Linked DNA regions of Macaca fascicularis. The protein of the gene in region 1 purifies or fractionates together with the protein of each later gene. This does not show direct contact. Links are inferred from orthologs where the notes say so. Each region holds a gene or a part of one and is shown on either strand. Other genes may lie near its edges.

Evidence for each region.
Region 2: the proteins of PPP2R2D (region 1) and PPP2R1B purify together in Homo sapiens (affinity purification with mass spectrometry; 4 studies listed by BioGRID and IntAct, counting the BioPlex papers as one, with this or other methods). This does not show direct contact. The link is inferred for Macaca fascicularis from reciprocal best matches to the Homo sapiens genes PPP2R2D and PPP2R1B.

Annotation. Positions count from the first base shown.
Region 1 is NC_088383.1:140,987,634-140,991,446, reverse strand, and holds part of PPP2R2D (serine/threonine-protein phosphatase 2A 55 kDa regulatory subunit B delta isoform), read right to left. Parts: intron 3,787-3,813; coding exon 3,621-3,786; intron 3,243-3,620; coding exon 3,130-3,242; intron 2,881-3,129; exon of another isoform or gene 2,783-2,880; intron 1-2,782. UniProt on the Homo sapiens protein: Substrate-recognition subunit of protein phosphatase 2A (PP2A) that plays a key role in cell cycle by controlling mitosis entry and exit. Involved in chromosome clustering during late mitosis by mediating dephosphorylation of MKI67.
Region 2 is NC_088388.1:110,657,716-110,661,528, reverse strand, and holds part of PPP2R1B (serine/threonine-protein phosphatase 2A 65 kDa regulatory subunit A beta isoform), read left to right. Parts: exon of another isoform or gene 1-131; intron 132-1,696; coding exon 1,697-1,818; intron 1,819-3,813. UniProt on the Homo sapiens protein: The PR65 subunit of protein phosphatase 2A serves as a scaffolding molecule to coordinate the assembly of the catalytic subunit and a variable regulatory B subunit.

The DNA.
Region 1 (3,813 bases):
CGAGGTCGACATTTTCTTCCTGCTGAAGAAAAGAAGATCAGCTGGCACGGTACAAGCTGCCCAGGCACCGAGGCCTGCGGCTCCCTCTCCTATGCGTCCTCTGGTGGCCACACTGAGACGCTGGACAGCAAAGTCTTCCTGGGTGGCTCAGCTGAGCCCCTCCCTTTGTCCTCTCCTTGCAGCTACATGCACAAAACTCCTCTCACTGCACCAGGACTATGCTTCTTGGTGCAAACCCCACAAGCCTCCACCGGCTCCAGGGACTGGCAGGGTGCACAGGTGGGTGCTGGGGAGCTGAGGATGTTCCATTTATTGGTCTGGGGCTGACTACATGGGCATGTCCAGTCTACAAACATTCATGGAGCTGGTCACTTATAGGGCAGACATATTATTTGGAGGTATGTATTATTCATTACACTTCATCTGAGGTTAAAACAAAAAGTAAAAGGTACCTCCCGCACCCATCTCTGTGTCGAGTGCGGCGGTCAGGGAGGCTTCTAGGGAAGCCCAATTCACACTGAAATGGAAAGGACAGAGAGGAGAAGGGTGCTGGCTGGAGGCCGCCTGCGGTCAGAGGTGAGAGCTCAGGTGTGAGGAATAGCATCACACATGAAAAAAGGACAAAGGTCTGCATCTCCCTAACACCCAGCTGGAAGAAAAACATAAGCTTTAAAATCAAAACAAAAAATTAATGAGAGTATTTTTTGTTATTCTTGTAATTAGAAACCAAAAGGGAGAGCCTTGAAAGCTTAGGGAAAAAAAATCTCTCAACTGAGTCTTGTCTGGCCAAATTCTGTAAAAAACGAACGTGGAGAAGTGTGTGTAGTGAGACTTCCCCCATTTTAACCCAGTTAGTGCTGACCACAGCCTTGGATTCTTTAGATCAAGAAGAGTCAGTTCAATGAAGTTCAGGCTTAAAAAACACACACCTGCCACAATCCTCTAACAAATCTCCCATTAATCAAAACACATGATGGCTGCAATACTTACAAAGATTCCTTCTTTTATTTTAAAAAATTTTAATTTACATATAAAATAATTTGTTTTCATTTTTAGAGATGGGGTCTGGCTATGTTGCCCAGGCTGGTCTTGAACTCCTGGGCTCAAGTGATCCTCCCATCTCAGTCTCCCAAAGTGCTGGGATTATAGGTATGAGCCACCGTGCCTGGCCAAGATTTCTTCTTTTAATTATATCCCTTTTCTGGCACTAAAATAATTTAAGAGCAAAAATTTAAAAATAGCAACATTTCTGACTCTTACCCAGTTAGGCTCAGATACATAAATAGCCCATTCTGAACTGTTAGAGAGGTACAATCTCAAATACTGACCTAAGTCATTGTACAGAATTACCTGTCTGTGGTCTCTTCCCCATGCACTGACTAATGAAATAACTATACTTCTCACAAGCCTTCAGTAGGGCCACCAATTATACCCATTTTATTTAGGCTAAACCTACAAAAGCAGCCTTGAATAAAACCAAGACTGGGCCTAGTAAAGGCCTACTGTTTTCCCAAAATGAGCATGTGAACTCATGGGTTGTGGCAGGGTCTGATCGGGAGGAACAGGGGTTTCTGAGGGTGGGGTATGCACAGGTACCTGGGTGGGAGGTGGTGTTGCCTGTAGAAGAGATGGACGAGACTGGAGGGGGTCAAGTGCCCACCCTCAGGGGTCCCATCACACTTCTACTTTAGGGTCAGCAGTTTCATGATAAAGGAACTGCACAACTCGTGTTACTGTCACTAAAAATGATTTACACTAATTCATGGATGCAAAGGCAGCGGCACTGCGTATCAGACACCACCACCATTTTGGATTGAAACATCTTGGCTCACATTATAAACTACATTTTCAGCACATGCCACAGCCTTTCTCACTTTGATGAGCTCATAGGAAACAGGGTGATAACCTCGATGTGAGAAGTCTGAGGACACTCCTCCTGGGAAATTGGGAAATGCACGACCCCAGGTGCACCCACCCCGCACGGCAAAGCTGGAGAAATGGCATCAGAACAGACCCAGCGTCACTCCCAGGGGCACGTGTGTTAGGGAAAGGCTTCTGCAGCTCAGCGTCCTTCTCTGTAGCACTTCAAAGGCTAATGTGGAATGGGCTCGCTCACTCGGCTTCACTTGATAAACAATAGCGTAACGGGCTGAAATCTCATTAAAAACCAGTCACCCAACCCAACCAACTCAACCAGCCACACCCACCCCCCCCGGCAACGAAACCACCCAACCAATTAACCAACCAGCCAACCCACCCACCCACCCACCAACCGTTTTCAGATCTAGTAATGGCACTCCCTTGGGACCAGGCAGGGTTTCCTTCCAGGGGACACACCTCTGCACAGGTGCTGGTTTCTCACCAAGACACACCCGGGCTGGAGTCCAGTTTGCTGGACACCCTTCACCATGTTCCATCTAATTTAAGACACACATCAGTCGTACGTAGCACCAGGCCAATTATAAGACATTGAGGTTTTAAGTTTTACCCGATTTCATAGATATTAAAATGTGAAAAAATCTAGGCCCTGGAATTGACGAAATATGGTCATTTCATACTGCATGATGCGGGGGGGGGGGGGGGGTGGGGATAGGGGGGCGCCAACAATGGAGCAAATAACTTAACAATTAAAAAAGTAATGATGCTCATGGACGGACAGGTGAAGAGTTCTGAACTGTCAGCATCTGCCTAAGTCAACCCCAAAGAAATGCCATGAGAACATTCTGAATGCATCTTGGTGGCCCACAGCCTATCTTTCGATCTGCAGCCTGTGCTGTTTCACCTGCGAAGTGTTCGGAATTCCATCTGAACTTCAACTTGCCAGGTGCTGTTCCGAACCTTCAGAGAGAAGGGTGGTCGGTACGTCCACCAAGATTTCTGCTGTAGAATTAGATGTGAGTTTTCCCCTTAGTATTGCAGTATTGTCTAAAGACCACATGTGACTTTTTGCCTTTGTGAAAATAGGAGAAAGACCTTGCTTTAAACACATGTGTCATGAGCGCAAATGCCTTTCATGACTCAGGAGGTGGACCTCACAGTATTCCACCCAGCAGGACTCTCCAAACAGCAGACGTAAACGTTTATTCTTAACTTCTGAACGGCATTGGATAAAGAAAAGGCAACGTATACCCGTAGTGCTGTGATTCTAAACGGATCTCGAAGTCTTCCATCTTCGTCTTTCAGGTTATAACCTTCTGCTCTTTTATCCCGTTCACTTATTTTCCATAATTTTATAGTTTTATCTGAAAATAAAAACCTCATTCTCCATATGAAAAGAAAAACTGTAACATGCATCACTACTGTTTGAGTATTATATTAGAAAGCGGTGTGGCCCTATGTTGGTTTATAAGCTATGGGGTCTTTGAACATGAATATTTCCAATTGGAGGTGTTTTGCACAATAAACAAAGATGTGGAGACGTGCAGAGTAACATCCTAGTAACTTGCACGTGTGGTTTTTGTTGCATACTTTGAATTTTCAACCTATCACTTGCTACCCTAGATAACTTACCCTCCCCACAAAATTTAAAGCAGGATTAACTTCTAAAATAAAAAGAAATCTACACACACAGAAAATTAAAAATAAAACACTAAATCAGCCACTTAGAAAACAATTCTTACCATTTGTAGAGAGTAGAAAATGAGCAGCATTCTGTTGTGGTAACCACCTAATTTTATTAATTTTTTCCTCAATTTCTAGACTTTTCAAATAGTCAAACTCTGGTTCATGACTTTGAAAAGTGCTGTAAACATTATATTCTCCCCTAGAATGAGGGCGGCTTTTGTTCTGCAAAGAAACATGAGAGCTGTTTTA
Region 2 (3,813 bases), on another chromosome or scaffold:
TAGGCTTTAGGAGCTCTGTAAGGCTGGTATTTTTGTCTGTTTTATCTTCTGTATTGCCAGTGCCTGGAACAGTATCTGGTGCACATAATAGGTGCTCAATAAAAATGTGTTCAGTGGATGAATTTCTAAAATATCCTCTGATGTGTTGTGTACATGGAACAAATCACCAAAAGAACCAGACTGTGTCTTATTTTCCCATCGACACAAAGATTTTCCTGCTCTCAGGAAACAAGCTTTATGTGGCCCTTCTCTGGTCCCCTGGCTTAGACTACAGTTCTGTGTGGATTTGTCTGGTTGCTTCAAACATGTATTGGTTTTCATCCTTGGCAGCTTACATCAGTTGTTTGATTAGAAAAATGAAGCAGACACACACACATACACACACAAACATATTACCTGTGCCGTACAAATGTCTCAGCAGCAATGGAGTTCACCTTGGTGTTTCTCTGCAATTTGTGTGGGGTTTACTCCTCACAGGTTTAAGAGACCAGGTCTTGTTTCTTTCTCTGTGCTGCCAAGAAGATGTGAACCTGAGGATGCATCTTGTTGCATAAGAAGGAAAACAGGTGAATATGTGGTTTCTAATGAGGTCTTGTTGAAATAACGGGCTGCCCTCAGCTCACAGAAATACCACAGCTCGGCCACTGTGATGCAGAGCCCCAGGGGTCTTCGTCCGACAGCTTGTCCTGACTCAACAGTCGGCAGCCTGACCTTTGAGCTGGCTTGCCCAAGCGTTCAGGTTGTTTGCGTAGACCTCTAGGGAAGCAAGCCTGTCCTTCCTGGCCCGGCGGTTAACCTGGTGCACTTTTGTTCCTTTGTTAACCGTTGTGTTGTCACTAAACTGAAAGGCTGGGGCTTGCCCTTAGACGTCACATTGGCTCTGTCCCTGTGGCGACGGCAGGGCAGGGTGGCCAAACAGGTCAGGTGCTTGTCCTGTCCTCTTGCCTTTTACTTAAATTCCTCTGACTTAAAAATGGTGACACTCTTATCGTAAAGCTTCCTATTTTTCTCCACTGCTTGGATATGAAACTAGGGGGAGAGGCCCTGTTGCCCAGTGTTCTCCTGGTTTACCAGCTGAGGTGACTGCAGTCTGATGTGATGTAATTGTTTCCCTTTGATTCTCCAGTATTCCTGTTTCCATCCAGTTCCTTACTCCCCTCTTTCCTCTTCCCTCGCACGTCTCCCTCCAGTCCTCTGTACCTAGAATAGTCTCACTGTCCCCTGTTTGCCTCCACGAGCCTGCTGTTTCCAGGAAATTACATAACGTTCAGTTGGGATGGAAATCTTCTGGAGGACGAATAGAGTTTAATTCCTCATTGCGTCGAAAAGCCAAGTCATTTCTGTCTCCAGAGGTGTTCTCTTAAACTGATAGGAGTTCTGAAAGGAGCCAGGTCTTCCCTGTGGTTGGGGCTCTGGAGGCCATCAGTGACCAAGATGTAGGGAACAGCCAGGTGGACACCAAAAGGCCCTATGGGGCAGCGCTTTCCAGGGCCCCGAGGGAAAGGCACCTCAGCACGACCCTGGACTGCCCCAGCCTTCTCTGCCCAGTGCCCCATGGGCAGAGACTGTCGGCTGCTGCTGGACTTCCCAGCTCTGCTGGCACAACTGAGGGCATCCTGGCTGGGAAGCGCAGGTGGGCTTGGGAGGGATGTGCCCTGGTCAGGGACAGTTACAGCGCCACTGTCTGTGTCTCTAGTGGTGGCACAAAGGCTGAGGAAGCTAGATTTTCCTGTGAAGGACAGTGGAGAACCCAGTGTCCCTCGGGCTGACAAGAACCATTTCCCAAGACCCAGAGTGCCTGGAGAGGACACGGGGAAGGTAAGTGCCCCGGAAGCCTGGGGCCAAGTCCTGCCCTCAGGGCTGCGGGCAGCCAGGGTGGCCTGGTCTGCGGGGAGCTGCCGCAGGGTAGGCTGAGAAGCAGCTCCTCTCACTTTGTCCCCAGGGGAAGAGTCCAATATTAAGGGCCGGGAGTAGATTTTTAAAGCCTGTTGCCAGCTTACTTCGTTCTGGGAGTGCTTTCTGAGGGACGGGTTGCCGGCCAGAGCTGTCACTATTGTAGCTTGAGGCCCATCTCCCATCACCTCCCCGTCCAACAGCGAAGCCCATATAGAGGACACTGGTGGGATTTGGTGAAGAATTGCTTGTAAAAAGGGGCTGTTCCCATTTTCCTCACGTAATACAGAAGTGACTTGCCACAATTCCTCAGTTATTTCCATTCAAGATAAAAATAGTTGCAAGTTTCTCTGTAACAGCTCATGTTCTACAAGCCCCACTGGACGCCACTCTGTGTGGAAATGGTGTGAAAAGCCGCATTTCAGCAGTCGGTGCCAGCCACTGCCCCAGGGCCATTCATTAGGAGGGCGATTTGTGACTTACAGATATATTCAGAAAAGGAGAGCAGCAGGGCTTGGCTGCCTCGTGCTGATGCCAGACTGCGTTTAGTTCATGGGGAAAAATCTGACATTCTCACACCCACTCTAGTGGGTTCGCTTGGTGAAATTCTATGAAGTAACATCAAAAAGGCTGCCTTTTAAGTCACATGGCTTTTCATTTTATGTGAACCGAAACCATGAAAACGTTTTTTCCTGTTGTTGAGGTCCAGAATCGCCTTCGCTCATCTTAGAACGTTCTTGCCTTCCTGAGTGGCTGCACACTTGTCCGTGGGCAGCACCGGTCGTTCCTGCAGTGGCCACACAGTGGGAGGAAGGGCTGGGCGATGACTGTCCGGATGGATTCCCGAGTGGCCAGTCCTTGGAGTCCATGTTCTCTTCACAGAACTGGGCCGCAGGAAGGAGAACTTGGCTGAAGGAGTGGGGGGTGACAGTTACACATTTTTTAGGCCTAAACCACAGACTTCTTTGGGAAGAAAGGGGTTACATCTTCCTACAAATTCAGAGCCAACTGCTCATGCCATAAATGCGTGGTAAGACCCGATCTGAGCGTGGGTCATTGAGGTGGCCCTCCCATGGCTGACCTGCTCAGCTCTGACGGCCCGAGCTGTGCCTCTGCTAGCTGAGGAGTTATTGAGAATTAACTGTCGTTACTTGAGCCTTGGTCACTGCAGCCCCTTGTCAGGCACTTTAAATCTCATGTCATCCTCACCCACCCTAGGTGGTTAAGTGCTGTCATCATTTTTCAGTCCCTCATGAATCTCCCCCAACCTCTGTCATGTCTATTTGAGAATCTTTCTTTCCAGGAAAGGAGGCCCATTGGTGCTAGGCCTCTGAGGCTTCAGTTCATTTAACTCAGAAAAATCCCCCGCCCCATGACTCAGGGAGCCTTCCATGCATTTGTTTCACTTAAGGAAAATGACCCGAGGGGGAGATGGAAAGGGAATTGGCTGTTGCCAGGCAGAACCCTGTGTGTCAGGGGCCAGCAGCCAAGTGAGTGATCCAGGAAGTCATCCAATTGCAACCAGAAATTGTTCTTAACCCCTCACTGTCTAGGGTGTGTAGTGGACTTGCCAGTCTGTCCGAACGGGGTGAGAGTGAGCGCCTTGCTATTGAGAGCCCCGGGAACCATCCGTTCTCAGCCACCCTCAGGGCTCTCAGGGAGCCATTGGACATTCCAGGGGCTGGGCCCATCACTTGAAGAGAGAATGGAAGGGGCAAGAGCCAGTCTCCCTTGGTGAAGGGCGCCTCCTTGGCGCCCTTGAAGTCTGTGGAGGTGCCTGTGTGTTGGATGTCATGTGTGTCCCCCAGGCAGGATCTGCCAGGGAGCAGCGTGGGTCACCTCCCACACCGTGGTGCCCGGGGTCCGCGCGGCGGCTCGCTCCCGGACAGGACGCAGGGGGGCTCCCCGATGAAGCTGCTG